Linked DNA regions of Stegostoma tigrinum. The protein of the gene in region 3 interacts with the protein of the main gene of each other region in a biochemical or structural test. Links are inferred from orthologs where the notes say so. Each region holds a gene or a part of one and is shown on either strand. Other genes may lie near its edges.

Evidence for each region.
Region 1: the proteins of ube2m (region 3) and dcun1d4 form a complex in vitro, tested with the Homo sapiens proteins (3 studies listed by BioGRID). The link is inferred for Stegostoma tigrinum from reciprocal best matches to the Homo sapiens genes UBE2M and DCUN1D4.
Region 2: the proteins of ube2m (region 3) and dcun1d3 form a complex in vitro, tested with the Homo sapiens proteins (4 studies listed by BioGRID and IntAct). The link is inferred for Stegostoma tigrinum from reciprocal best matches to the Homo sapiens genes UBE2M and DCUN1D3.

The regions. Positions count from the first base shown.
Region 1 is NC_081354.1:106,280,426-106,288,285, forward strand, and holds the start of dcun1d4 (DCN1-like protein 4), read left to right. Parts: upstream 1-4,845; 5' UTR 4,846-4,955; coding exon 4,956-4,974; intron 4,975-7,860. UniProt on the Homo sapiens protein: Contributes to the neddylation of all cullins by transferring NEDD8 from N-terminally acetylated NEDD8-conjugating E2s enzyme to different cullin C-terminal domain-RBX complexes which are necessary for the activation of cullin-RING E3 ubiquitin ligases (CRLs).
Region 2 is NC_081376.1:49,316,732-49,324,618, reverse strand, and holds the start of dcun1d3 (DCN1-like protein 3), read right to left. Parts: upstream 3,016-7,887; 5' UTR 2,603-3,015; intron 1-2,602. Other genes in the region: lyrm1 (LYR motif containing protein 1), read left to right, coding at 3,784-3,801. UniProt on the Homo sapiens protein: Contributes to the neddylation of all cullins by transferring NEDD8 from N-terminally acetylated NEDD8-conjugating E2s enzyme to different cullin C-terminal domain-RBX complexes and may play a role in the cell cycle progression by regulating the SCF ubiquitin E3 ligase complex, after UV damage.
Region 3 is NC_081391.1:19,879,928-19,887,409, reverse strand, and holds the start of ube2m (NEDD8-conjugating enzyme Ubc12), read right to left. Parts: upstream 3,103-7,482; 5' UTR 2,970-3,102; coding exon 2,861-2,969; intron 1-2,860.

The sequences.
Region 1 (7,860 bases), on a different chromosome or scaffold from region 3:
ACACTGTAATGCAAGGTAACAAAGTGTGGAGCTGAATGAAGACAGCAGGCCAAGCAGCATCTCAGGAGCACAAAAGCTGACATTTTGGGCAAGGGCCTGCTGTGTTCATCCAGCTCCGCGCTCTGTTATCTTGGATTCTCCAGCATCTGCAGTTCCCAGTATCACTGTAATGCAAGATAATTGTTTAGTGACCACTAAACCAAATTTAGTTATGATGTTTAAGAGGCTGTTAGGTAAATGAAGGCAAATATTAGAAGACAGTGGGGGTGTGTGACAGCACAGTGGCTCAGTGGTTAGCACTGCAACCTCACACCACCAGGGACCCACGTTCGATTCCAGCCTCAGGCATCTGTCTGTGCAAAGATTGCACATTCTCCCCATGTCTGCATGGGTTTTCTCCAGGTTTCCTTCCACAGTCCAAAGATGTGCAGGCTAGGTGAATTGGCCATGCTAAATTGCCTGTAGTGCTCAGAGGTGTGTGGGATGATCCAAGGGGCAGTGTGGACTTGTTGGGCCAATGGGCCTGTTTCCACACTGTAGGGAATCATAAAAAAAATTGGTTTAATTTTAGTGGTCTTAGTGGAGTACTAACATCAGCTGAAATGTGATACTAAAAATAGTCTTTTGTACCAAAATTTTTCAAATGTCTTAATAAAGTTATTTGAAGTTTATTATACTGACATGAATGTTTCATTGAAATACATGCATGTGTTTTACTTTTCCAAAATACACATCATTACATATCATTAAATAAAAAGAATAGGTTATTGTTGTCACTGGAAACAAAGCAGCATTATTTGCAGAAAGACTAATCAAATAAGAGAACATCCAGTGGGCTACTTATATACAAACAGGAGTTAGGCCAGTCAGCCTTTCATGACTTCCACACTCAATGAGATCATGACAGACCTTACCATTTAAGAAATGTTCTATACTTAGTTTACTTACACTAATGTGGATAACCAAATTTTACCAACATATATCCAGATATTCCATCTGCCATGTTCTTGCCTAATCACCAAGTCTGTCCACATCCTCCCAAAACACTTGATATCATTATCAGTCCAAAGATGCGCAGGCTAGGTGGATTGGCCATGTTAAATTGCCCGTTGTGTACATGGGTGTGTGTGTGTGTTATAGGGGGATGGGTCTGGGTGGGACGCTGCAAAGGGTGGTGTGGAGTTGTTGGGCTGAAGGGCCTGTTTCCACACTGTAGGGAATCTAATTAATCACAGCACAGCTTTGTAGTTATTTTCATCCACCCTGGTTGGATATGATATGACATACCTTCAAGGCAGGTGGGATTTGAACCAGGATCTCTGGCCTGAAGGCAACACAGATCCCTCCACTTAGCTTTGTATCATCTGCAAATATGTCATTCTGGACCCCACATCCGAATTGCCTATATATTGCAAACAGCTGGGGCCCAAATTCTGACCCACTGATATCCTTCTAGAAACAGCCTACCAACACGAGAATAATCTGTTCATTTCTAGGTCTGTTTCCAACCTGTTGGCTCAATCTTCATCTATGCCCACACATAACCTCCTATTCTGAGATAATGGGAACTGCAGATGCTGGAGAATTCCAAGATAATAAAATGTGAGGCTGGATGAACACAGCAGGCCAAGCAGCATCTCAGGAGCACAAAAGCTGACGTTTCGGGCCTAGACCCTTCATCAGAGAGGGGGATGGGGAGAGGGAACTGGAATAAATAGGGAGAGAGGGGGAGGCGGACCGAAGATGGAGAGTAAAGAAGATAGGTGGAGAGAGTATAGGTGGGGAGGTAGGGAGGGGATAGGTCAGTCCAGGGAAGACGGACAGGTCAAGGAGGTGGGATGAGGTTAGTAGGTAGATGGGGGTGCGGCTTGGGGTGGGAGGAAGGGATGGGTGAGAGGAAGAACCGGTTAGGGAGGCAGAGACAGGTTGGACTGGTTTTGGGATGCAGTGGGTGGGGGGAAGAGCTGGGCTGGTGGTGTGGTGCAGTGGGGGGAGGGGACGAATTGGGCTGGTTTAGGGATGCAGTAGGGGAAGGGGAGATTTTGAAACTGGTGAAGTCCACATTGATACCATATGGCTGCAGGGTTCCCAGGCGGAATATGAGTTGCTGTTCCTGCAACCTTCAGGTGGCATCATTGTGGCAGTGCAGGAGGCCCATGAAGGACCGCAACTTTCCCCCCACAGTGATCGAGAACGCCCTTGACCGCGTCTCCCGTATTTCCCGCAACACATCCCTCACACCCCGCCCCCGCCACAACCGCCCTAAGAGGATCCCCCTCGTTCTCACACACCACCCTACCAACCTCCGGATACAACGCATCATCCTCCGACACTTCCGCCATCTACAATCCGACCCCACCACCCAAGACATTTTTCCATCCCCACCCCTGTCTGCTTTCCGGAGAGACCACTCTCTCCGTGACTCCCTTGTTCGTTCCACACTGCCCTCCAACCCCACCACACCCGGCACCTTCCCCTGCAACCGCAGGAAATGCGACACTTGCCCCCTCACCCCTATCCCAGGCCCCAAGATGACATTCCACATTAAGCAGAGGTTCACCTGCACATCTGCCAATGTGGTATACTGCATCCACTGTACCCAGTGCGGCTTCCTCTACATTAGGGAAACCAAGCGGAGGCTTGGGGACCGCTTTGCAGAACACCTCCGCTCAGTTCGCAACAAACAACTGCACCTCCCAGTCGCAAACCATTTCCACTCCCGCTCCCATTCTCTAGATGACATGTCCATCATGGGCCTCCTGCAGTGCCACAATGATGCCACCCGAAGGTTGCAGGAACAGCAACTCATATTCCGCCTGGGAACCCTGCAGCCATATGGTATCAATGTGGACTTCACCAGTTTCAAAATCTTCCCTTCCCCTACTGCATCCCTAAACCAGCCCAGTTCGTCCCCTCCCCCCACTGCACCACACAACCAGCCCAGCTCTTCCCCCCCACCCACTGCATCCCAAAACCAATCCAACCTGTCTCTGCCTCCCTAACCGTTCTTCCTCTCACCCATCTCTTCCTCCCACCCCAAGCCGCACCCCCGTCCACCTAATAACCTCATCCCACCTCCTTGACCTGTCTGTCTTCCCTGGACTGACCTATCCCCTCCCTACCTCCCCACCTATACTCTCTCCACCTATCTTTACTCTCCATCTTCGGTCCGCCTCCCTCTCTCCCTATTTATTACAGTTCCCTCTCTCCATCCCCCTCTCTGATGAAGGATCTAGGCCCGAAACGTCAGCTTTTGTGCTCCTGAGATGCTGCTTGGCCTGCTGTGTTCATCCAGCCTCACATTTTATTAACCTCCCATTCTCGTGTGTTTTGAATTTGCTGAAGGTCCTGCAGGGGACGCTATAAAACCTGAAAATTTCAGTTTGTTACATCCGTTCACTTTCCATAATCAATTTTGTGACTAACAGCCCCCTGACCTCCAAGTTGCAAATTCGTAATGATTGTGCCCTACATTTTTGTCCATTCATCTATTGATCATATTCTTTATAATTCACTTCCCCTACTACTCGTGAGAGCTATTAAGTCTGCAGTCGCCTGTTTTCTTTCTCACTTCCTTATTTATTAGTGGTACGACGTACGTAGCTTCCAACCTTTAGGAATCACTCCTTAGAATTTAGAAGCTGATGACCAACGACGCACTGTCCCGATAGCAAACACAACAAATGCTGGAGATTACAGCGGCTCAGACAGCATCGATGCAGAAAGAGTCGGCTGAACATTTCGAGTTTAGATGACTCTTCATCACAGCTGAAGCTCGAAACGTTAGCTTTCTTTCCTTTCGTGGATGTCGTCTGACCCGCTGTGATCTCCAGCTTTTTTTTGTAGCATCTGCAGTAATTTGTTTCCTTCATTATCTTGATAGCCACGTCTTTAAACTGTGTGGGATTTAAACTATCAGGTCCTTGAAGGCCAACTTTCAGCTCCACTTTTTCTCCAGTAGAACTTTTTTTATTAATACTAATTTGCTGGATTCGATCTCTGGTTCGGGGAAATAGCTTGCACCATCCTCGGTGAAAACAAACACAAACTCATCTACCATTTCTCTTATTCCTCATTATGACTTCTAGTGACTGCCAGTAAAGGACCTACATTCGCCTTAGCCAAACCTAGCCATGATAAAGTGTGACTGACAGACGTATAATTTCTTCGTCTTTCTTCCTTACAGTGGGCACTGGAAGCGAGAAATCTTCAACGGGAGTGAGGAGTTTGCAAATCGATTGAACTCGTTCAAGCGTGGGGAGAATTAAGACAAGTCATGTAAGAAAGCGGGGTGATTACTGGGGAACGGAATTTGGCAGATTATCGCTGAGTCAGTGTAAATCTAAATGCAGATTTATTGAATAAAAATGTAACCATAGCCACGACCTCAACGGCACAATCCAGATCAAGTGGTTCACCTCTCCCCTCCCCCAATAACCGGTACAACAGGCCACGGACCGGTACTCTGATTGGTCCAGGATCCCTCTGTTGCTAGGATGGGGACTCATTCCTATTATTTACTGCAACGACGAGGTGGCGACTTCATTAGAAAACAGTATAAGTTAGCCGGGGGAGGGGGGGGCGGGGGATAAATAACGCCAGGACACCATTCAACATCCCTCATCATAGGAGTATGTGTTTCAATTTGCTTTAAACGTGTACATCGCAACGAATGGGTGATAAATAACCTGTACCGACAGCTACCGTTCTCCCCGAGGCTGAAGGCGGAGCCAAGCCGTGCCGAACCACACCACCGGTCCCGCCCATCCGTGGCGGCCCCTGTGATTGACATTCCAGTAGCCAGAGGAACGCTGCCCTGAGAGTTACGCGAGGTGGGCGGGCTGGGGAGCCAATCGCAGAGAGGCGCAGGCGGGACTTCCGTTGTTACTGGCTGGCTTCACCGGCACGAGCGGGAGCGGTTGTCCGGCGCGTTCTGAACCATCCTCGCCCTGAAAATGCACGCGGATGCAGTCAGTAAGTATCGAGGATCCGCCGCTCTAACTACTGCTGTCCCCCATGGTGCATACATATTTCACATGGCTATGCCATTTCCTTTGTCAGCACTACAGGGTTCATTTGTTTTTGTCTGCGTTTAGTGCAAGGTATTCTGTTTCACCTGCGTCTCTTTAATGGAGATGATTCGTGTGTCACAGAAGAGAGGTGACGCAGTTTTCTTTCCAGAGTGTCTCATATTAATGCCCTGACTAACCTGATCGCATTCTTTTTCTCCTTGTCCGATTCATGGTCGAAAGTGGATATCAGCAGAATGATATGGTGGCGGCATTGGGCAAGGAAGGGGATTATTATTCTCTTTCTCTACTCCCCCTCCCCCCGATGCAGAAGCTTTGTCAACTCTGCTGAGAAGCTGTCTGGAGTTGTATTTATTTCAGGATGTTGGGGAGGGTACGAGAATGTGGGACGCGTATATCAACGCGCAGGCGCAACGTTCGTGACGTTTTCTGGGAATTGTAGTTCTATGACGACTAATTATGTGATGACACACCTAGTGGCGTCACAAGGGAACTGCAATCCCCAGACTGCTTTATGCGGTGTAACCTAGGGAAGCGTTTACCTGGGGGCTCAGCTCCTTGGCCACTCTGGCAGATTGGTCTCAATGCAGTACTCTCTATCTAGGTTTTTTTTCCATCTTTGGCCATCCGCAGTGTCCGTTATTTAAATAAATATATTTTTCTTTGCGTATTAGTTCTACTTTAAATGGGGTTTACCTTTTTGTTGAACGGGCATTATTTTAACTACATTGTCCACCTTGGCAAATTCACCCAGTTCTGTGGCTATGCAAGATATGGTGATGATTCTGCATTCTGGTCAGTTGATTTCTACTGTAGTTAACAAAATTCCTTCAGTTTTGTTTAATTGTAGAAACCTTAGCATGAATATCATGTCTGCTTGGAGTTGATCTAGATGGCTTAACCAGCTTTCACAACTACGAGCTAATGCTGTGTTTTGCTACTTGTTAGAATTGCGTGTTTACCTGTACTAAGAATAAAAGGCAACTTTTTTTTGTTAAAACTGGAAGGTATGACACTTATGAATAAAGTCATGGCATGATTTTGATTTATTGTCATGTCTGTTTACTTACAAAATATGGTAAAAATTGTGGTATAATGTTGCCACTCTCCAGTGTCATCTTAAAATACAAATAAACCAAAATTAAAGAATTTTAAGGCAGAAAAATGAAGAAATAAAGAATAAAGAAATTGCTGACTTCTCATCTGTGGCCCAGTGTCATAGAACCCCCTGAATGAAGATGTATTAACTTCTGTCCTGATTTCCAGTTGTGGAAGTTTATTGTTCATTGTACTAGACAAGTATTGTCTTTTGCGTGCATTCAGTTTCAATCCACATTTTGAAAGTTGAAATTTGGTCTGTTAAGTTGAGGATATAAACCAAAGTTGCATTTTACATTAATTACAACTATGATAGACCAGTTTTGTAGTACAGTAGTTTTTATTTGAACTTGTGGAACAGGATGAAGAGAACCCAATACTTAACAGTATTCAATATAAGTTGTATTTGCACACTTTTGTTACATCCAAATGTAAGTGGATACTTTTATGTTTCGGTATAAGCCAAGTTTTTAGAACTAGAGTATAAAATGTCCGAAGCAATCACAGCTGGATTCTCAGGCTGTTGGAGTTCAAGAAGTTCAGACATCTAAGTGTGAAAATCTAACACATGAGATAGAGGGGGATGTTCTGAGATATGCAGTACTGAATGTGAAAGAACTGGGAAGTACAGGATAGTTAGAGCTGAGAGTTTAGAACCAAGTGTAGATAAGTGACCTCACAGCAAGCGGTACTAAGGTACTGTTCATCAATTATTTGCATTTTAAGACAATTTGTACTTTTAATCTGCACATAGTGATATAATAATGGAAATTTAAATGTCAATATGCAGAACTTAAAATGATTTGTAAATAAAGAGGAAAATTCACTAGTTTTGATGTAAATTAATGCTTAATAATTTGGCTTTAAATATCTCACCTATGTAATAAACATGACATATTTGACTTGCTCTTTAAAAGTGACCAGTGTTTAAAAGTTTCCTTTTGAGGACAATGGTAATGTAACAATATTGTTCATCTTTTTTTAAAGTTCTGGGTAAAATACTCCGAATTAAATCATTTGCAGTTCATTTGAGATAATGATGAAATCAGTGAATTATAATGCAATAAACTGATTAAGGGGCCTTAATGATCTCCTGAACTTGAATAAAGCCTAACTGAAGACTGAAAGCAGCCAAATTCACTGACAGGTATTTGTTCTTGCACAGCAGTGAAATTTGTGATTTATCATCCTCATTGTTTGTCACTGCTTCCTTAGCAAGGTAACCACTTTTAAATAATGAAACTGTAGAAAAGTGCACCACTCTTTGTGGATTATTTGAACCTCTCTACAATCTGTATTTACTACACTAATATATTAAATGGTCCTTTAGTTTGCAGAATTATTTTTGAAGATTTTGTACCTCCTCTGTCAAAGCTGTTCCAATGATCATATCAATACTGAGTATAACACAATAACATAAGGTTTTTGAAATTTGCTAAATTGTTTCCTAGTTAATATTTGTTTTTATATCTTTCTAGAAAAAAATCATTGGTGTTATATTATGGAAGCTGGTATTAATTATAATTGTGCATTAATTTGCAAATCTGACAAAATCCAGAGATTATTTTTGTTTCTGTAGATTAATTGTTAGGATTGATTGCTGTAACAACTTTATTGTTGTATCATGCGATTACCGAGATGGTGAAACATAAACTAGAAGGGTCTTGGCCCTTTTTACATGTACCAGTTCCTATGACTGTTCCACTGAAACTCTGATTTTAGAGCACATTTT
Region 2 (7,887 bases), on a different chromosome or scaffold from region 3:
ATGCCAAAAACAGCCTCACAGCACCAGGGACCCAGGTTCGATTCCAGCCTCGGGTGACTCTCTGTGCAGAGTTTGCACGTACTCCCAATGTCTGCATGGGCTTCCTCCAGGTGCTCCGGTTTCCGTCCACAGTCCAAAGATGTGCAGGCTAGGTGGATTGGCAATGCTAAATTGCCCATAGTGTTCAGGGGTGTGTGGATTATAGGGGGATGCGTTTGGGTGGGATGGTATAAGGGGTGGTGTGGACTTGTTGGGCCGAAGGGCCTGTTTTACACTGTAGGGAATTTAATCTAATTTCTTGCTTTACCTGTATGTTAATTTTCTGTATTAGTTATATAAGCACACCCACATTCCTCTGAATATCAAGTATTGATTGTTCTAATTGAAAACTATTGATTTTATACTCTTCCTACTGAAGTGAATAACCTTATTTCCTATCATTACATTGCAACCCCTTCCAACTCAGTTAAAAATATAAAATGTCTTTGCAGATTACATCCTCTTCCCAGCTTACTTTCTCACCTAGTTCCTTATCTACAAAACCAATGAGGTTACACTCGGACCCTTCAACCAAACTGTTGACAATTAATGGTAAATAATGGTATCTCCGAAATTCAGGACTTTTCTAGTTATTGCTTGCCAACCTGAGACCTAACTCTAACCTTCAGGAATCAAGAGTTCAATAATTAAGCACCTTTTCCCATGTCCTTACCCCAAACCCCATACACCAAAGCCTCGTCATCATTTAGCCTGCTACCGCGACCAACTCAGTGTCAGCTAATGGTCCCTCACTCCATCTCCACTTATCATTTACTCCTCCCCAATCCTATCTTCAGCATACAGGCTAACCTTTTCCTAGCTAATTACTTCTGAAGAAGGGTCACTGGACTCAAAACTTTGACTCTGCTTTCTCTCCATAGAGACCTGCCAGACCTGCTGAGTTTTTCCAGTGATTTCTGTTTTTGTTTCCGATTTCCAGCAACCACAGTTCTTACGGGTTTTCTTTAAATCTATTTATTGCTACTCCATTTTTTGCCCTTTATATCAACTTTCACTAATTCTACTACACTAGTCCAATCTCAAGAGCATTTATAATAAATGTGAAGTACTGCAGAAATTGGAGATTTGAAAAAACAATTAGAAAGCAGAGAAATTCAGCACATCAAGAGCTTATACCTTGTGCAGCCCTTTTTGTGACATCTTATTGAATCCTTTTAGAAATCTAAATATGCCTGGGCTGGAACAACTCAGCAATGCGCAGACCGACAGGCTGGAGTTGTCCTCCTTAAAAGGAGAGAAGGCTGAGGGAAGGGATCTGATCAAAGTGTACAAAATTCTGAGGGGCACAGATGGGTAGACACTTTTCCCCTTAATTGAGGGGTAAATAACAAGGGGGCAGTTTTAAGGTTAGGAGCAGGAAGGTTAGAGTGGGTTTGAGGATTTCCTTTTCACCTAGAGGGTTGTGGGCATTTAGAACAGAATGTCTAATAGGACGTTAGAGAAGCCTCAAGTAATTTAAAAAGCTATATAGCTGAACAGTTGAAACTCGATTCTATACTAGGCCACAGGCTAAATGCTGGAAAATGGGATTAAAATAGATCCATATTTGATGGCTGGTGTAGAAACAACAGTCCTCTTTCCATGTTGTAAAATCTCTATGGCTAAGAAGTTGAAATCTAACCTGGTGTTCAGAATAGTATCTATCCCTCTAAGAACATTCCTACAACTAATTATCTAGTCACTAACACATTCTTGTTGTGGAACCTTGCTATGTGCAAATTGGCTGCTGCATTTCAAAAAATGACTTTGAAAATAACATGTTGACTATAAAAATGCTCTGGGGTATTCCAAGGTTGTGAAAGATTATAGAAAATGTTTTGCTTTTAGAAGTAAACAGGTTTCTGCAATGTCCACATGCGTGCATAACACGAGAACCTGAAAGCAGATTGTCACTATTCTGTAATGAATTAATCTGAAAGCTAACTCTAGTAGTGACATAGTACTCGCAAAAGGCCTGTAATTCCAATGACAGGGCAATCCCAGGAGAGGGAAATTCTCATCTGTAGGAAAGGTTGAACTAGGGCAATAGACAAGTGAAAAACAAACTGCTCGGCAATGCTCCATCGCCACCCCTCCCCCATTCAAACTGCATCTTCATTTTAGAACACAGTGCTTGCGTGCAGGACCATTGTTGATGCCTGCAATTGATTACTGTTACGAAGATCAACCTGTCAACAATCTATCTTGAAGCCATTCTGCCTCTACGTTATCATTGAAGAATCATCGCTTGGAAGCACACCATTTATACACTTTATCACCAACATTTATTTTTTCCATTGAAAGGAACATTTCATTCCATGGATTTAAAAAGGAAATTAGGCCATCACTCGTTTTAGCAGGCAACCCAGATTTCAACACCCAAAACAGAAGGAAAGTTATCCATCACACAGACTCAGATAAGGTAGAAAGTGCCACGTGTGAGGGAGATATTTCTTTGATTCAGACTTGAATCAATTGCCTCACCAAAACAAAAAGCCCAACCGCCGTTACCCCACTCCGTTTGTGCTACAACCCAGGTCGATGTCGAAAAACAGAAACTTACAAATAACATGAAACGTGATCAAGCCATCGTCCTGTTTTCCGGGAGAGCGAGTTTAAAAAGCAGACGGCTGAGGAGTTTTTGAGTATTAATTCAGGGTGAGGAGTCAGAGGTCTGCGCGAAGGCACTGAAACAACGACGGGCTTCCCTTGGCCTCGGAGAGAGGAAAGGCAGGAAAGGCGCCAGGCCTTCTCACGACATCATCACGGCCGGGCAACCCGACCTTTTCAAAGCCATAGTCACCCCGGATGGACACTAACGTTCAGCTTTTCGCGAAAGGCACGGACGGAGAAACGGCCACCGTTCCGCTGATAATTTGAGGAGACAGAAACTTCCCCTCATCACTTCCTACTGCGCCGGGCAGCCAGCTTTCCGTCTGCGCATTACCTCATCAAACCTTGCGGTCAGACAACAGTGACGCCATGACGCTGATGACACGAGGCCACACCGCCGCGCGGAGGGGCGGGGAAGAGGAGGAGGTGATGCGCGTGCGCAGAAGGCTTTGGAACGGATCGGAGCTCTGTGTGGATATGAGCCTACGTTCCGGTGGAAGTGCGCATGCGCATTTCCATCAGCTGCCCGGCGGCGATGAGGGAAATGCGCGTGCGCAACTCCGCGGGCGGGCGTGAACCTGGATTGGCGGGCGCGCATGGCGTGTTTGCGTGAATCGGACGGAGTTGCGCGCGTTCGCGGTCAGACGCGGCATCGCGCCCTGGCTTTGGGATTGGGTTGAGCGGGGAGGAGGGCAAAGGGAAGAAGACGCGCGTGCTTGCCGCTCGTGGCCTGGTGAGTGGTACGCATGCGCAGTGCTGGGGCGCGCGCGGTTTTCCGTTGGGATGTCAGATTGGCGGTGTCTCCTCGGTACCCCTCTCCCGTGAATCGGTGTTGACACCGCCGCCTGTGCGCTCTCTCTAAAGTTCGGTATATTCCGCTTCTTTATCCATCCCTGTTCTCCGGTAACGACCGAACGCAAAACAGAAAATAGTAGTTTTATTTTAATTTAGGGCGGGTGGCCCTGGCTCCATCCAACGTGAGGTCACCTGACAGCAGTTTAACTACTTCACGTCTTTATTTTATCTTCTCTTATTTAAAAATTCACAAATCAGAAAGACAACGCGCTGTCGTGATGGACGAATGGTCGGTGTGACGGGCGGTTGAATATTTGGAGAGTGAACTGCGGCCGGATGCTTCATCTTGAGAAGGTGAGGCCGTCCCCTTCTCCCTCGCCTTGTGGCTGGGTAGTTTGTGTGGGTGTTTGGTAAGGGCTGGGGAAGAGAAGAAACGAGCCGTTCACTCGAGCGTTTTGCCTTTTTTTTTCCTTTCTGCATCAGTCATGAATTTATAAACACAGCTGTCGGCTTTTAAACTGAGGCCGTGGGGAGATACTCCCCGATTGCTGAATGAAACTTCTCAAATATAATCCCTGCAGTGTGGAAACAGGCTATTCGGCCCAGAGAGTCCATACTGATCCTCCGAAGAGCATTCCACCCAGACCCATACCCAATCCCTGTATTTTCCATGGCTGACGGACCTAATCAGTGCATCCCTGAACACTATAGGCAATTTAGCTTGGCTAATCTGCCTAACCTGCACATCTTTGGGCTATCGATATTTCTATTAGATGGTTAATACCAGCCCTGCTTTCTTGCGTTTTTCATTGATGTGTAATAAGAAGTCACCTGTAATATAAATTGTTCTTCCATTTGAAATTCAGCATCTAGCCCCTCTTCGGACGATTGCAAGGCAAAATGTTTAGTCATACATCTTTGTTTTGCCTTGATTTACTCATTTTTTTAAACTTTTAGTTCCAAACTTTACTCAATTTTTTCTTAATTTGTACCAAACAGCTAAAATTTAAGAATTAAACTAGCCCTTGTGGATAACAGTCAAGTTTCCATTTTTCTTAAAAAGAACTGTTGCTTTATCTAAAGTTAGAAATTGCAAGCTATAAGAATGTAGCCTACAGGAACTTCAACGCACAATAAACATTCTCACCGAGAGCCTATAAGGCTATGATAAAGTTCATGTGAAATCATAGCCAGTACCGAACTTACACACAACTGGACCACACCATTCTTCATATAACAGATTTCCAGTATCCCCTGATTTGATAAAGTGCTAATGTAATGGTTTTATTTGCTTGTGTTGCTGCACAAATAAATGATAGTATAATTACTTGACTTTCAAGAGTGACAAAAATCTTGACAATTTGAGCTGGCACCTTCAACGTTGCTCTCTAATAGCTTAATTCAGTGACTTGCATTTGTATCCTGTACTGCCTATAACCTTGGCTTCACGGCAGTTTAATCAGGTAAATACTGACAAGTGTCAAATAATCGAGGTAGATACTAAGGGCTAGATCCCTGGAATGGTAGGTTTAACGTATGATGAACGGCTAAGGATCCTGGGATTGTACTCATTAGAGTTTACAAGGTTATGGGGAGATCTAATAGAAATTTACAAGATAATGTATGGTCTAGAAGGGGTGGACGCTAGGAAGTTGTTTCTGTTAGGCGGGGAAACTAGGACCTGTGGGCACAGCCTTAAAATTAGAGGGGGTAAATTTAAAACTGAACTGAGACGGCATTTCTTCAGCCAGAGAGTGGTGGGCATGTGGAATTCATTGCCACGGAGTGCAGTGGAGGCCGGGAAGTTGGATGCCTTCAAGGCAGAAATCAACAAATTCTTGATCTCAGAACGAATCAAGGGCTATGGGGAGAGTGCAGGGAAGTGGAGTTGAAATGCCCATCAGCCATGATTTTAATGGCGGAGTGGACTTGACGGGCCAAATGGCCTTACTTCCATTCCTGTGTCTTATGGTCTTATGGCCATATTCAAGGAGGGGAGACAGAGAGAAGTTTGGAAATTCCAGAGCTGCAGCATGGACCATTGAAGTCATGGCTGAGAACAGTGGGGCAAAGGAACTTTGAGGCATGCAAACTTTCAGGCTGGAGGAAATTACAATGATATAAAGGAGAGATTTGAACCCTATGATAAAAAAGCAAATTTTGTCTAGTGGTAGGTAGAGAGGTAAGTCAGTGAGTATACTGGTTAGTAGATATTTGACTGAGTATATGGACGGTAGAGTTGCAGTGACTTTGGGTTTATGCACAGGCAGTGTCTGCTGATATACAGTCAGCATGGATTTTTCAAAATCATAGTTTTTATTGTGCAGCTGGATATTATTTGTTACGTGTGAAATCCAATAATTAGCATGATGCAGCTTAACCTTCCATGTTTTGGTAACTCTTAAATGCTTCTCCTGACCAGTATAGTCATGTTTCATACTCAGGGCACAGTCCTTAGTGTACTACTCAGAATTTAAATGTCACCATTCGGTGAAATAATCCAGTAGCATTCATCTCCAGTTTTGCAACACTAATGTAGACACTTGCTGTACAAGGCTAGTCCTCTTTCCTCCACCCAGCACTTAACTGAAGCCCACGATCAGGAGGAAATTAGACGCCATCAAGCCAGCAAGCTGACTCTGGAAATCTGATTGGAATTGGTGGTTCACCGGAGGCCAAAACCCCATTTTGCTTGAGCTTCTGACAAGTGCAATGGACTAAAAATAAACTTTAATCCACCACCTCAACTTCTTGTTGTGAGTTATAGAACACAGAACAATACAGCGCCGAACAGGCCCTTCGGCCCTCGATGTTGTGCCGACCTGTGAACTGATCTAATCCCCCTACACTATCCCATCATTATCCATATGCTTATCCAAGGACTGTTTAAATGCCCCTAATGTGGCTGAGTTAACTACATTGGCAGGCAGGGCATTCCACACCCTTACCACTCTGAGTAAAGAACCTGCCACTGACATCTGTCTTAAATCTATCACCCCTCAATTTGTAGCCAAGTCCTCTTGTACAAGCTGAAGTCATCATCCTCGAAAAAGACTCTCACTGTCCACCCTATCTAATCCTCTGATCGTCTTGTATGTCTCTATAAAATCCCCTCTTAGCCTCCTTCTCTCCAACGAGAACAGACCCAAGTCCCTCAGCCTTTCTTCATAGGGCCTTCGCTCTAGACCAGACAACATCCTGGTGAATCTCCTCTGCACCTTTTCCGATGCTTCCACATCCTTCCTGTAATGGGGTGACCAGAACTGCACGCAGTATTCCAAATGAGGTCGCACTAGCATTTTGTACAGTTGCAGCATGACATCATGGCTCCGGAACTCAATCACCGTAAGCCGCCTTAACAGCACTATCAACCTGGGTGGCAACTTTCAGGGATCTATGTACATGGACACCAAGATCCCTCTGCACATCCACACTACCAAGAATCTTTCCATTGACCTGGTATTCTGCCACCTTATTATTCCTCCTAAAGTGAATCACCTCACATTTATCCGTATTAAAATCCATTTGCCACGTTTCAGCCCAATTCTGCAGTTTATCCAAGTTATCTGTGTAATTGCTCCTAAAACTAGGCTGCTTCCAATTGCTCCAGTAGCGTGTGTTTACTGACAATTCCTGGAATTCCAGATGACTTCCAGACTTCCACCCCTTTTTAAAATATTCACAGAAACACCCCACTTCCTGCCAAGCCATTGTTCGCAAGACAAACACATGCCTAGATTAATTGACCATAAACGCTTATTTGACACCAATTAAAACACAAGCATTGAAATTCCAGGAAATTGATGATTTTTTTTCCAATGTTGGCTGAGAGTTTCTGTCCTTTTATTTGTGATATTGCTGGTATATACAACCACCCCATTGACTCAGCGGCTCCCCTTTTCTGAGTACAAAAAGGCTCCAGAAAAGCAAAAAATGGCCTGCTTACCAATCCCATTTGCACACTTCATCCACAGAGTCTTCACTTTTGGAAATTAGGGAACTGGAATCCAGATCTTCTGACCTAGCAATAGGGACACTACCACTGCACTGCAAAATTCAACTTAAAATTGTCAAAATTCTCATGTGGTGTATGTCAATGCATGTATTTCCACCATGTTTTATTTGCAGTTCTGATTCTGCCCCAAACCACCTTTCTGATTCTTAACCTTCCTTTGTAGATTCTAGAACCCATTCCTGTCTAGACCTGTGTGCCAAATTACAACAGCAAGTAGTTTAACAATTCTTATCTCCTAATAATGTTCTCCATTTCTGTGTTAGCTGCATCATTTAAAAAACAAACCTGTCATAACAATAAATAAATAGCACTTTTGTGACTCAAAATAGCATTTAACTGTTAGTGTTTCAATTGAAGGCTCTACATTTGTAGCTGAATGTTTCCTTGCAAAATTCTAAAGTTTCATGTTTCGAGCAAGGTGACTA
Region 3 (7,482 bases):
TTAGGAACTTTGCTGCCAGCTGGTCTCAGCACAAGACTGGAACTCACAACTGCTGTTGGATGGGAGGAGAAATAAGCACACATCTGCTCTTTGAAGGGGTGATAACCTCAGGCAGACAGGCAGATGGGGAAGAGCTGACCAGCTGCTGGGAACAGAATTCACATTAGTCGAGAGAGAGGAAGTGCAAGGACGATTGACACAATAGGGTCCTCAACAATAATCAGCTGCTAGTACCTAAAAGCAATCAGAACGCTTTTTTTAAAGACGAAAAGATCCTCCATACGGACATACAAAATTGGAGCAGAAATGGCCATTCAGCCCCTTGACCTCGCTCTACCAATCAATAACATTATGGCTGATTTGTTTGCTTTTTGAATTCCACATTCTCATCTGCTCCTCATGGTCATTTGAATCAAAAGCTATCAAGAATTTATCTACCTCTGCCTTAAAAATATTCAGTGATCCAAACTACATTGTCCGCTGAGGCAAAGTTACACAACTCTCAGAAAACAATAAATCCCTCATCTTTGTGCAACAGGGTCCCCAAGCTCTGGCTTCACCCACAAGAGGAAACAGCTTTTCCAAGTCCATCTTATCAAGACCATTCAGAACCTTACACATTTCAATCAAGTCACCCCTTCTAAACTAGTGAAAACAGGCCCTGTCTGTCCAACCTACAGATAACCCGCTCATCAGGTATCAGTCTGCTAAACCTCACCTTAACTGTCTCCAACATATTTACTTCTTCCCTTAAATAAGAGGCCAACACCATAAAGAACACCCCTCACATATAGTGCTTTCTAACTTGTGGCACTCAAATTATTAGATATTTAGAAAATAAAGTAACCTTGAAATTGACTGAACAGTGCTCATTTTCCAATATAAATCTTTCAAAACATTTTGGAGAACTGACAAATATTCTAAAAACATATTTATGTAGAAAGAGCACCTGTACTCTCTTTGTATTTGGTCAGTTCCCCTTTCTTTCTCCTTATCTGATCAATACAACCTCAGGATTTCCCTACCTTAGGTCCTCTTGTGAGTAATGGTCCGTTCCTCCTGCCCCTATCATGATAGACAACAGGTGCTGGAGTAGGCCCTTTGGTCCTTCGAGCCAGCACGACCATTCATGGCCAATCACCCACAATCAGTATCCTGTTCCTATCTTATCTCCATAACCCTTGATTCCACTACCTTTAAGAGCTCTATCTATCTCTTTCTTGAAACTGTCCAGAGAGTTGGCCTCCACTGCCGTCTGGGTCAGAGCATTCCATGGTCCAGTGATCTGTAAATCGTTGACACTGGATAAAGCATTTCCCAACATGTGTCCCCTTACACAATCCAAAAATACGTGGGGCTCAGGTAATGACAGAATTCTGCAGAGCAGCAGTTATTTTGGGGATGGCATTCACATTTTCATAGAATCCCCACACTGTGGAATCAGGCCGTTTGGACCAACGAGTCCATATCAACCGTCCGAACTGCATCTGACCCAGACACATCCCCCAACCTATCCCTGTCAACCTTGGGTCAAAACCAATGACTGATCAGCTGGATAAAGGCTTAGGAAAGAAAGTGAAACAGCATTCAGAAATCCAATGCCTGTCCATGAGTGGGCATGATGAATGGCTAGCTGGAGTACCAGCTACTGCCGCCACCTTTTGTCAAAGATTAGAAATGGATGACTGGTTATGTGAGGAGATTTCCAATGTGGATGGATGTCAGCAGCAGTACATTCCAAGTGTACAGGCCAAATAAAATCTAGAAATTACAGCACTTTGCCTTCGAGTCAATAAGAGCACTTCAACAGGAGCTATGTAGTTACTTTCCCTTGAAATATTTTATATTGCAGCCTTTCAAAGGCTTCCCCAGCTTCCTCTTAAATGATAACATAAAATATTCCCCAGAGTGCAGCGCAGCACACTCTAACAACTATGTTTGGAGAACCTCCAACTTCTTCCTTGCCCCCACAGGCCATCCCATTCAAGCATAGTCATCAACTTGCCAATGTGTGAAAACCACCTTCTGCAACTGATGTTTTGTGATTTTAATAAAACTCCATCTAGCCCCAATTTCAAACTAGCATTGCAAGTATGGGACTACATATCCTTCTTTGTCTTAACGCTTTGGAGAAGAAACCTGATATTTTGTTGGCAAATTTCAAACTTCTTGGGTGCTGGGACAACCGGTTCAGGAGTCCAAGGAATGGTAACCCTGGAATTGGTGTCGGTGGCAGATTACAAGAGTGGAGGCATTGAGAGGGTAGGGATTATATCAGTGTCGAAGGGAGGGGGTGACGGATGGGCTGAGGTGACAGATTGCAACTGCGGTTCCCCTCAAGAGACGGCAACACGGTGGTCAAAGACCAGAACTGGTACCAGTTACCAGGCAGTTAGGAAGCAGTTGGCTGTAGCTGCCTCACCCTGGCAGATCAGTGCTTTCATCAGGAGCCCACTGAACCTGGGGGAAATCCCTGACACCCTCTCCTCACCCCACAGTCAGGCCATAATGAGGGGAGGAAAGGGGTGGGGGCAACTGCACCCAACCCTGGGGAAGGGCGTTCTGAGGAGCCCAGCACCCAGATCCTCTCCTCTGTCTCTGCCCGCCGGCAATCCTGGGGTCTCTCGCAGTCCTGACCTCGGAGCAGAGCCCTCTCCACATGAAGCAAGCCGGTCGAATCGGATCCCAGGCTCCATTTAAGGCCTAGCTGCTTCCAGGCCTTCCTTGTGGGTCAGAGGCCGGTCTCCAACCCCCGCCGACAACAGTACCCCTTGCCCCGGTGCCTCAGAGAGGCCTGGCCCGCCGATCCCTTCACCCTCCCCTGGGCCCTGGCTTCGCCGAGCCCCCGGCCTCCCGTTACCTTTCTGAATGCGGAGCTGCGCGGCCGACGCCTTCTTGGTGCCGGTCTTGGCGGCTCCGGCGGCGTCCTCTTCCTTCTTCTGCTGCTTGAGCGAGAAGAGCTTGATCATGATGCGGCGGCGGCGGGGCCTCGGGACTCAGGCTGAGGGTCGGAGGGAGACACGGAGCCGCCGCTCGGGCAGGGAGCAGAGCGCGGGGCAGCGTGGGAGCGGAACGGGTCAGAGGGCAAGGGGGCGGGGTCAGCCCGTGGATGGTTAGCGGGCTTGGGCGGAGCCAAGGGAATGGGTGCGGCTAAGGCGTTGGGGCGGGGCCTAATAGCGTTGGGGGCGGGTCTAGAGGACGCGGGCGCTGTTACCGGCGTGGGCGCGGCTACATGTGACTGGGCGGAACTAAAGAATGGGGCGGGGCTACATGGGAGAGGGCTGATCTGAAGGATATGGGCGGGGTCAGTTGTGTGAGTATGGATACATTGGGGGGGCGGAGCGAGAAAACGTGAAGCGGGTCACAATAGGTGGGCGTGGCTAAGTGACAAGGCGGAATTTAGAGGTGAGGGCGCCGGTGCAGGAGGGGCGGAGCTGAATGATGGGGGAGGAGACTATTCAAAGTCTAGGGGCCGAAAAGGGGGCGCGGCAGGTTGCAAATGGGCGGGACTGATTTGAGGGGGCGTGGCCAGGTGAGTGACATGGGCGTGGTCGAGTGAATGGGGCGGGGCTGAATGGGAGAGGCGGATCTCCTGCAGTTTGGCGCACTGTGTTGAATGCTCAAGTTCCTGCTCATTTCACACGGCAACACCACTGCACAAAAACCTAGATAGGTCTAGGCCCGAAACGTCAGCTTTTGTGCTCCTGAGATGCTGCTTGGCCTGCTGTGTTCATCCAGCTCCTCACTTTTGTTATCTTGGATTCTCCAGCATCTGCAGTTCCCATTATCATTGCACAAAAACCTAAGTACTTTAGGTTGGGATGGAAGTGGTTGGTGAAGTGGATGAACAGTTCGCACGAGGAAGGGTCACCGGACCCAAAACATTAACTCTGTCTCTTCCTTCACAGATGGTGCCAGGCCTGCAGAGCTTTTCCAGCAATTTCTGTTTTTGTTCCTGATTTACAGCATCCACAGTTCTTTCGGTTCTTACACAACTGCACCTTGAGCAGTGCAGGAGAAGGAGAGATGGCTATAACACAAGGGGAGATGGGTGTCACACGATGGGGGGAAAATGGGTGCCATACAAGGGGAGATGGGCATCACATGATGGGGGGCAATGGGTGAAACACTTGCAAAATAAAAACCGAAAGTAAATCAGGAACAAAAACAAAGCTGCTGGAAAAGCTCAGCGAGTCTGGCAGCATCTGTGACGGAGAAAACAAAGTTAACATTTCGGGTCCGGTGATCCTTTCTCAGAACTTATAACGCTTACAAGATGGGTTACGCACAGAGGTGGGAAATGAGAGACACATTTCGCAATAAGCGACACATTCTGTGGATGGTGACACAAGAGACAGTGAGTGACACACTTAAGGGGCTTGAATGGCTCACGAGGCTCCAGACACATCACAGGCGATTTAAAGTGATAATGGGAACTGCAGATGCTGGAGAATCCAAGGTAACAAAGTGTGAAGCTGGATGAACACAGCAGGCCAAGCAGCATCTCAGGGGTCCAAAAGTGACGTTTCAGGCCTAGACCCTTCATCAGAGCCCTGATGAAGGGTCTAGGCCCAAAGCATCAGCTTTTGTGCTCCTGAGATGCTGCTTGGCCTGCTGCGTTCATCCAGCTTCACGCTTTGTTATATAGGCGATTTAAAGTTCTTTTTAAAGCATAGACACTTGTTGCCATGTGGGAAACACAGCAGGCACAAACAACGTGATAATGGGATTATCTGTCAGTTAGGTCAGTCGCGTGACAAAGCAATTCACATTTATGTTTGTGTGTGTAGACATTTTCTTTTCCTTATTCTATAGCAGATGTACCATGCTGGGAGCATACTCATCCCTGAGTCAAAGAAATGTGCGTTCCACTCCAGAGACTTAAGCATAAATACCCACATTAACAATGAAGGTTGCAGATGCCATCTCTTGCCCTCTCAGATAAATGTCAAAGCTTCCATTTCCCTTATCTCAAAGGAGAGCAAGGGAGACATCACCAGTCCTGGCCTATATTTAACAAAGACCTGTGGATACTAGAAATCTGAAACAAAACCAGAATTGCTAGAGAAACTCAGCAGGTCTGGCAACATCTGTGGAGAGTGAAGCAGAGTTATATTTTCAGTCCAGTGATCCTTCTTCAGCAGAGAAAGCCACAGGTGGGTAGAGGTATTTATGCTGATAACAGACGTGGGGTGGGGTTCGGGTTGAGTGGGTGGAAAAGTTGTCACCACAGTCCCACTCTTTCATTCGAGAGAGACAAGATTGGTGATATTTTAAACTAAGGATCACCATGCCCCAGGCAAGGGAGGACGCTTCATGGTAGCTTCAGTCCATATGTGAACTGAAACCACACAGTTGGTATCAATCTACATTATTAAACAGCTGTTCAGCCAACTGAGCTAACTGAGTTATATGGATTTATGTGCATTTGGAGAGGCAAGGAATGAATAGTAATAGCATGGTTTTGTGCAAGGAAAATCATGTGTCACAAACTTTATTGAGTTTTTTGGATGAAATAACTAAGAAGATTGATGAGAGAAGAGCAGTACACATTGTTTACTTGGGCTTAAGTAACACCTTTAACAAGGTTCCACATGGCATACTAAGTGGTCAAGCACGATCACATGGGATTCAGGGTGATCTTGCCAATTGGATACAAAATTGGCTGAACAGCAAGAGACTGAGGGTGATGGTGGGAGGGTTGTTTTTCAGACTGGAGGTCTTTGACCAGCACTGTTCCACAGGGATCAGTTCTGGGTTCTCTTTTGTTTGTCATTTATATAAATGATTTGAATGAGAATATGGAAGGCATGGTTAGTAAGTTTACAGATGACGCCAACATTGGTGGCATCGTAGACAGTGAAGAATGTTTTCTAAGATTACAAATGGATCTTGTTCAAGTGGGTTAATGGGTTGAGAAATGGCAGATGGAGTTCAATCTGGATAAATGTAAGGTATTGCATTTTGGTACAACAAACACAGGTAGGGCCTTGGGTAGTGTTGTAGAACAGACAGGCCTAGAGTGCAGGTACATAATTCTTTAACGTTTGTGTCACATATAGAGAGGATGGTTAAAAAGGCACTTGGCATGCTAGTCTTCATTGCTCAGTCATTTCAGCATAGGAGTTAGGACGTTATGCTCGGATTGTACAGGACTTTGGTGAGGCCTCTTCTGAAATACAGTGTCCAGTTCGGGTTGCCCAGTTATAGGAACGATATTATCAAGCTGTTTACAAGAAATGCTGGATAGGCTTAGACATTTTTCACTGGAACGTAGGGTGTTGAGAGGTGAACTTATAGAAGTTTATAAAATAATGAGAGGTATAGATAGAGTTGATGGAGTTGTCTTTTCCCTAGGATTGGGAATTTCAAGACTAAGGGGCACATTTTTAAAGTGAGAGGAGAGAGATTTCAAAAAGACATGAGGCGAACGTTTTACGTGCTGTGTGGTTTGCGTGTGGAATAAACTTCCTGAGGAAGTGTGGATGCATGGTACAATTACAATGTTTAAAAGACATTTGGATGGATACATGAATAGGAAAGGTTTTTAGGGATATGAGCCAGGAACAGGCAGGTGGGGCTAGTTTAGTTCGGGATATGTTCGGCCTGGACTGGTTGGGCCGGAGGGTCTGTTTCAATGCTGTATGACTTGATGATTCTAGGAAATGGTGGATGTGGATATAGTTACAATGTTTAAAAGACATTTAGATGAGTACATGAATAAGAAATGTTTGCAGGGATATGAGCCATGGTTTGGGATTATGGTTGGCTGTATGACTTTATGAGTGAGACAAATAAATGGAGATGATGCCCAGAGGGATCCGAAGGGATTGCTGATCATAAACAGGGAGAGAGATAAATGCTAAATGGGTGCTAACGACAAGTCTGAATAGTTGAAAATGGGTTGGCTGTGCTGGGAATAATCCATGCAGAAGAAAGCTTGGGGGTGTGGGGTGGCTAATGAACGTGGAGATAGTTGTTAATGCTCTGAAATTGTTCAACTCATCATTGACTCCCAAGGGCTGTAAGGTACTTAGGCAGAACATGAGGTGCTCATTGTCATCTTCTTGTTCCTTGTTGTGTTGAGCCTCGCTGGAGCACTGCAGCAAACCTAAGACAGAAATGTAGGCAATGGGAATATGGCAATCAATATTTATTCCTTAATCAATATTGCAAAGAAAAACTCATCCAGCTTACATCTGTGAGACTCCTGATGGTTTCCAACTTCCTAGTGGGTTGTCACATGGGACACTCAATCCTTCCATAACTTCTGAAACCCTCCAGGGCAATCTGGGGGCTCTCCACTTCCTCCTTGAATGGAGGCCAAACTGGTCACCATCCAACAACATCTTCGTTAGCCTGGCTGCATTTGTCCTGACAATGAATGGCTTCTCAATTGACTTGCTTAAATTAAAGATGTTGCTATGGGCAACTGCATAACTGCACTTGCCTGTTTCCGGAGCATCTCATGTTCTGATCCCA